2 linked regions of the Pelodiscus sinensis genome follow. The protein of the gene in region 1 interacts with the protein of each later gene in a biochemical or structural test. Links are inferred from orthologs where the notes say so. Each region holds a gene or a part of one and is shown in the gene's direction. Other genes may lie near its edges.

Region 1 (3,743 bases):
TGTGAAGGGAGTACTCTTTTTCAAAGTTAAACTATATGAAGGACTGTCTTCAGTCTACTATGGGTCAGAAACAACTATCTCCCTTGCACTACTTTCAATTGAGAGTGAGCTTTTGAGAAAAATAACATTTGATTATGTAGTCTGTGATTTTGCTAACAGAAAGAGTCACAAAATAAATATTTAATTGTATGTTATACCTGCATGTTGTTTGTTGACTAAAGATTTAATAACACCTCCATTTAATTGATCTTCAACATTTGCACATGTATTCTAATAAAAATAGCAAATTATTAAGTGTGATTGAGCTGTTTTATTTTCTTATTTTTGAGTCAATCATGATTTTTTTTGGGGCCCTAAATTTTTTGTAGGCTATATGCACTGTGTTTACTGGATAATCTGGCTCTGACCTTAGGCACTTTGGAAAAACTACTGCTGTTCTTTCTTTTCTGGGATAATTTGGGAGCTGAGGGTATGTCTACACTACCCCGCTAGTTCGAACTAGCGGGGTAATGTAGGCATACCGCACTTGCAAATGAAGTCCGGGTTTTGAATTTCCCGGGCTTCATTTGCATAAGCGGGGAGCCACCGTTTTTAAAACCCCGCTGGTTCGAACCCCGTGCTGCGCGGCTACACGGGGCTCGAACTAGGTAGTTCGGACTAGGATTCCTATTCAGAACTACCTAGTTCAAGCCCCGTGTAGCTGCGCTGCACGGGGTTCGAACCAGCGGGGTTTTTAAAATGGCGGCTCCCCGCTTATGCAAATGAAGCCCGGGAAATTCAAATCCTGGGCTTCATTTGCAAGTGCGGTATGCATACATTACCCTCCTAGTTCGAACTAGGGGGGTAGTGTAGACATACCCTTAGAAAGGAAGATCAAGAGGATCTATCTTTCCATTTTACCCGGTGGGTATCTTGCCTAGCCTTAATGTGTGTGAACTTGAATAAAAATGTATCCACCTCCTAGGTTTTATTATATATCCAGCTTTATTGTTGTTAATGAGTCAAAGGGGAACTGGAGAAGCTAATGATGGCCTGCCCCATGCCAGGCCCCTGCAATCCCCAGCGGTGAAATACGATTCCCCCCAGGATCTGTGATTATGTCTACATGGACCAGGCACTCACTGGGGTAGATAAACTCGGGCTAAAAATAGCTTGTGGCCCAAGCTCCACTCCACTCCCATTAGCAGTCTCAATGCTGGGGGTGCTGTAGCCAGAGAGCTGTCCCGCCCCACGTCAGGCTGGATGTGGGGGGGGGGGGAGCGGCACTGGAGCCCAAAGGCTGGGGGTGGAGGGGTGTCTCTTTCTTCCCCCTGGCAAATCAGCCGAGAGGGCGGGGGAGGAGGGCGAGGGGCTGCTTCGCACGCTAGAAGCGCCTCACCATCGCTCCCCGCTCCCTTCTCTCCTCCCCTTCTCTCCGATCCCCGCCCGCGGAGCTGGGACCGGGCGCGTGAGCTGCCGGACTCGCTCCCTGCTTCTCTCCGCCCGCTTTGCCGGGGATGCGCTGAAAGGGGGCAGCTCCCGCGGGGCCTGTGCGACCCACCGCTCGCGTCCCGGCGCTCGCAGGCTCCCCACGGCTGCAGGCTGAAGTCCCGTCCGGCGGTAAGTAGCCTGGGCGGGGCTGCGCTGCCTGTGGCCGGGCTCTGGCTTTCCCCCCGCGGGGGGACCGGCCCAGGGTCCTCCCCGACGGGCGGAGCGGGGCAGGTGCCAGGGAGCTGGCTGAAGCACGGCAGCCGGGGCGCGCCTGGTGGAAGGGTTTCTGATTTGGGGGGGGGGGGGGGAGGAGGGACATATAGATCCAGCCTGCCGACGGACAGGAGGGTGGGTCTGTATGTGCCTATAGGGTCGTGATGTGCCTGTATGGTCCTGGCACCCCGCCCTGCCCTGCCTGAGACCGGGTCTATAGGTGCCTGTATGGTCCTAGCACCCCGCCCTGTCTATGAGACCGGGTCTATAGGTGCCTGTATGGTCCTAGCACCCCGCCCTGTCTATGAGACCGGTTCTATAGGTACCTGTATGGTCTTAGCACCCCGCCCTGTCTATGAGACCGGTTCTATAGGTGCCTGTATGGTCCTAGCACCCCGCCCTGTCTATGAGACCGGTTCTATAGGTGCCTGTATGGTCCTAGCACCCCGCCCTGTCTATGAGACCGGGTCTATAGGTGCCTGTATGGTCCTAGCACCCCGTCCTGCCCTGTCTATGAGACCGGTTCTATAGGTACCTGTATGGTCTTAGCACCCCGCCCTGTCTATGAGACCGGTTCTATAGGTGCCTGTATGGTCCTAGCACCCCGCCCTGTCTATGAGACCGGTTCTATAGGTGCCTGTATGGTCCTAGCACCCCGCCCTGTCTATGAGACCGGTTCTATAGGTGCCTGTATTGTCCTAGCACCCAGCCCTGTCTATGAGACCGGTTCTATAGGTGCCTGTATGGTCCTAGCACCCCGCCCTGTCCATGAGACAGGGTCTATAGGTGCCTGTATGCCTCTGCTACTCTGTCCCGTGTCCGTGACCGGGTCTGTTTGTGTCTCTATGGTCACGGCGCTCTGTCCGGTCGCTCTGGGCGGCGGGGTCCGTACGTGCCGGTGCCCCCAGGAGCAGTCCCGGGCGGGAGCTGCCCGCCCCCCCCCCCCCCCCCCGCTTGGTAGCGGGCAGGCTCAGGAGTGGCGCCGCCCCACCAGCAGGAGCCTCCCCACCCCCAGCAAGCCCCACAGAGCACCTCAAGCGAGGGGGGGGGGGCGGTTCTGGAGCTCCGAGTGCAGCTCCCTGTGCGGGAGACGGGGACGAGGGACTGGAGCCACTATTGTCTGAGCGGGCATTGCCCACGTGCGCAGAGATGTCTCATCCCCGCTCGGCTAATTTCCACTAGGACACTGTGTCCAGGTAGCTGCAGCCTTCTGGAGCAGGGCGGGACTCCTAAAACGGATTTGGAGCTTTCCCCTGCGGCTGAGGGTAGGTGTCAAGTGGATCCAGCCTCACCCTCGTAGCTCCAGAGAGATTGTGTGACGGCAGAAGGCTCGATCTCATGCATTTCACCCGAGATTCCTATTTAAAGCAGTGTGAAAGCTGTTCCCTTTCTGTGGGAGGGTGACAGATTTTGCAGTGTGTGCTAATGAGACAAATCTCGCTCCTGTTTATTTCCACATTTAAATGATCACAAGTAGGTAGTGGTTGCTGCCGCCCAGATGTTTGGCACCCAGTCAAAGGGTATGTCTACACTACAGCATTATTTTGAAATATCTACTTTCAAAATAGTTCATTCGAAATAGCTTATTTCGAAAGAACGCGTCTACACACAAAATGCAGGTCGCAATAGTGTTTTTCTATTTTGAAATAGCGCGTCCACACTGAGTGGTCGTTGAATCGCATTTAAGGCTGGTTGGAACCAGTTCTGGCAGGGCATCAGGTCAGAAGTTGCCTTGTGGCCAGAGCGGCCAGCAGGGCACCCTGGGAAGGGCTGGAGGTCCCCTTTTTTTCGAAATAAGCCTCTACACAGCGCTTATTTTTGAAATAGTAGTTTCAAAATTGGCACTATTCTTCGTGGAATGAGGGTTAACAATTTTGAAATAAGCCCTCTGCTATTTCAAATTAATTTCGCAGTAACGGAATGGCTCTGTAGATGCTAGGATAGTTATTTCGAAATAACGGCCGTTATTTTGAAATAACTTTGCTGTGTAGACATACCCTTAGTCAGCAGCATCAGAGGAATAAAGGAAGTGGTACAGGTACCAACAGAATTCTTATTCT
Region 2 (3,743 bases), on another chromosome or scaffold:
TCTCGCTGGGTCCGGGGTGCGCTCTGGAGCTGGCTCTCGCTGGGACCGGGGTGCGCTCTGGAGCTGGCTCTCGCTGGGACGGGAGGGTGCGCTCTGGAGCTGGCTCTCGCTGGGACCAGGGTGCGCTCTGGAGCTGGCTCTCGCTGGGACCGGGGTGCGCTCTGGAGCTGGCTCTCGCTGGGACCGGGGAGCGCTCTGGAGCTGACTCTCGCTGGGACCGGGGTGCGCTCTGGAGCTGGCTCTCGCTGGGACCGGGGAGCGCTCTGGAGCTGGCTCTCGCTGGGTCCGGGGTGCACTCTGGAGCTGGCTCTCACGGGCCCCACCAGGTTACAGTGGGGCTTAGCTGCAGGCACCAGAGCAAGCAGAGCGCTCTATCCGTTCCCACAGCTCTGCCCCCCACATGGAGTGAGGTCCCTAGCAAGATGCATGCCGGGGGAAGGGGGGGCCGCACGGGTCTCCAAACATCACAGTCTGGGGCTGTAGTGAATTTTCATCCACACCCCACCCAGCATGAGGTCTCAGGGTTCCCCACAAACATGAGGCACGAGGTGTGAGCACCGCACAAGGCACATCATGGCACCACAGCAGGTCCCAGCACCACCCCACACAACCAACCTCAGCCCCAGGTCTTGGCCCCCCTAACACCTAGGGGTCAGGTCCACCCCCCAGGGTCACCCCCCCCAGCTTGTTAAACTTGGATCCTCTCTGTGGTTTCCTTGGCAAACAGGACACACATGCTGCTGGGGGCTGATTCCTCCCTTTGGGTCTGCCCCCCGAGTGTGGCAGGAGCGACTCCCCTTTGCCTCCTGCCCCTCCATCCCTGAGGGGGCTACTTGCTGGCAGAGACAGGAGGCCTGGCAGACAGCACGGGGCAAGGGGAGAGCACGTCTGTTTGTCTGTCGCCTGCCCCGGCAAGCAGAGGGTTAACACTCTCCAAGGGGGACTGTGCAGCTCCATGAGGGGGGGGGGGGGAAGTAACCTTCACCCCTACAGCTGCCTTGGCGAGTTTGTGCTGGCTCTGCCCCCACCCCGCCCCCGTGCTGCTGCTGTGGGTATTTAAGGCAGGAAGTGGGGCCCAGGCATCGAGAGCTGAGGGCAGCCTGGGAAAAGACAGGGTGGGTAGTGCAGGCCGGAGGAGACGGGTGAGGGGCAGCAGGAGGAGAGGCAGAGGTTGCAACCTTCAGGAGGCTGGTTTGGGGGCAGGTGGGGGGCAGCCCAGAGGTGGGTGGGGTGGGCAGCAGCCCAGAAGGGCAAGGGCTTTCCTTGCTTTAGCTTCCTATGGGCTCTGCACCTCAGCTTGTTTCTCTGTGCCAGGCCTCACCCTCCCCAGCCTCCTTCACCCCAGCCCTCTCCCCCCCCAGCCTCCTTCGCCCCAGCCCTCTCCCCCCCCAGCCTCCTTCGCCCCAGGCCTCCCCCCCCAGCCTCCTTCACCCCAACCCTCTTCCCCCCCCCAGCCTCCTTCACCCCAACCTCTCTCTTCCTCCCCAGCCTCCTTCACCCCAGCCCTCTCCCCCCCCAGCCTCCTTCACCCCAGCCCTCTCCCCCCCAGCCTCCTTCACCCCAGCCCTCTCCCCCCCCAGCCTCCTTCACCCCAGCCCTCTCCCCCCCAGCCTCCTTCACCCCAACCTCTCTCTTCCTCCCCAGCCTCCTTCACCCCAGCCCTCTCCCCCCCCAGCCTCCTTCACCCCAGCCCTCTCCCCCCCCAGCCTCCTTCACCCCAACCTCTCTCTTCCTCCCCAGCCTCCTTCACCCCAACCCTCTCCCCCCCAGCCTCCTTCACCCCAGCCCTCTCCCCCCCCAGCCTCCTTCACCCCAACCTCTCTCTTCCTCCCCAGCCTCCTTCACCCCAGCCCTCTCCCCCCCAGCCTCCTTCACCCCAGCCCTCTCCCCCCCAGCCTCCTTCGCCCCAGGCCTCCCCCCCAGCCTCCTTCACCCCAACCTCTCTCTTCCTCCCCAGCCTCCTTCACCCCAGCCCTCTCCCCCCCCAGCCTCCTTCGCCCCAGGCCTCCCCCCCAGCCTCCTTCACCCCAGCCCTCTCCCCCCCAGCCTCCTTCACCCCAGCCTCTCTCTTCCCCCCCCAGCCTCCTTCACCCCAGGCCTCTCTCCCCACAGGCAAAGCTGCAGCCATGAAGGTCTGGACTGTGCTGCTGGGAGCCACCCTGCTGGCAGGTAAATGGCCCCTTGAGTTCTTCCCCATTCCCCTGCCCCTCACCCGGCTAGATCCCCCCCCCCCCCCACGCTAAGGGGGCTGGGAGCCAGGACTCCTGGGGTCCATCCTGGTGCTGGGAGGGCAGTGGGGGCCAGTGGTTAGAGCACTGGGGCTGGGAGCCAGGACTCCTGGGGTCCATCCCGGCGCTGGGAGGGCAGTGGGGGCCAGTGGTTAGAGCACTGGGGCTGGGAGCCAGGACTCCTGGGGTCCATCCTGGTGCTGGGAGGGCAGTGGGGGCAGTGGTTAGAGCACTGGGGGTGGGAGCCAGGACTCCTGGGGTCCATCCCGGCGCTGGGAGGGCAGTGGGGGCCAGTGGTTAGAGCACTGGGGCTGGGAGCCAGGACTCCTGGGGTCCATCCTGGCGCTGGGAGGGCAGTGGGGGCCAGTGGTTAGAGCACTGGGGCTGGGAACCAGGACTCCTGGGGTCCATCCCGGTGCTGGGAGGGCAGTGGGGGCCAGTGGTTAGAGCACTGGGGCTGGGAGCCAGGACTCCTGGGGTCCATCCTGGCGCTGGGAGGGCAGTGGGGGCTAGTGGTTAGAGCACTGGGGCTGGGAACCAGGACTCCTGGGGTCCATCCTGGCGCTGGGAGGGCAGTGGGGGCTAGTGGTTAGAGCACTGGGGCTGGGAACCAGGACTCCTGGGGTCCATCCCGGCGCTGGGAGGGCAGTGGGGGCCAGTGGTTAGAGCACTGGGGCTGGGAGCCAGGACTCCTGGGGTCCATCCCGGCGCTGGGAGGGCAGTGGGGGCCAGTGGTTAGAGCACTGGGGCTGGGAGCCAGGACTCCTGGGGTCCATCCTGGCGCTGGGAGGGCAGTGGGGGCCAGTGGTTAGAGCACTGGGGCTGGGAACCAGGACTCCTGGGGTCCATCCTGGTGCTGGGAGGGCAGTGGGGGCCAGTGGTTAGAGCACTGGGGCTGGGAGCCAGGACTCCTGGGGTCCATCCTGGTGCTGGGAGGGCAGTGGGGGCCAGTGGTTAGAGCACTGGGGCTGGGAACCAGGACTCCTGGGGTCCATCCTGGTGCTGGGAGGGCAGTGGGGGCCAGTGGTTAGAGCACTGGGGCTGGGAGCCAGGACTCCTGGGGTCCATCCCGGCGCTGGGAGGGCAGTGGGGGCCAGTGGTTAGAGCACTGGGGCTGGGAGCCAGGACTCCTGGGGTCCATCCTGGTGCTGGGAGGGCAGTGGGGGCCAGTGGTTAGAGCACTGGGGGTGGGAGCCAGGACTCCTGGGGTCCATCCTGGCGCTGGGAGGGCAGTGGGGGCAGTGGTTAGAGCACTGGGGGGGGGGTGCTGACTCCGAGCCCCAACCCGTCCACAGATCGTGTGCTCCCTTTCAGCTGGTAACCCGCCTATTGTGCGTTTTGTACAAAGCCTGGACCAAGGAAGCCCCCGATCTCTGTCAGGATCTGCAGTGCTCAGCATGACAGGGCCCCTGTCTTGGTGGGGGTCCATGCAGGGCCCGGGATGACAGGGCCCATCTCGGTCAGTCTGGGTGGGGCCGGCGCAAAGGGCCCCCGTCTCGGTCAGTCTGGGTGCGG

Evidence for each region. The genes of interacting proteins can lie anywhere in the genome.
Region 2: the proteins of SNCA (region 1) and APOE form a complex in vitro, tested with the Homo sapiens proteins (2 studies listed by BioGRID and IntAct). The link is inferred for Pelodiscus sinensis from reciprocal best matches to the Homo sapiens genes SNCA and APOE.

Annotation. Positions count from the first base shown.
Region 1 is NC_134715.1:16,040,775-16,044,517, reverse strand, and holds the start of SNCA (alpha-synuclein), read left to right. Parts: upstream 1-1,333; 5' UTR 1,334-1,599; intron 1,600-3,743. UniProt on the Homo sapiens protein: Neuronal protein that plays several roles in synaptic activity such as regulation of synaptic vesicle trafficking and subsequent neurotransmitter release.
Region 2 is NW_027465876.1:424,446-428,188, reverse strand, and holds the start of APOE (apolipoprotein E), read left to right. Parts: upstream 1-1,015; 5' UTR 1,016-1,115; exon of another isoform or gene 1,116-1,142; intron 1,143-2,112; 5' UTR 2,113-2,126; coding exon 2,127-2,169; intron 2,170-3,743. UniProt on the Homo sapiens protein: APOE is an apolipoprotein, a protein associating with lipid particles, that mainly functions in lipoprotein-mediated lipid transport between organs via the plasma and interstitial fluids.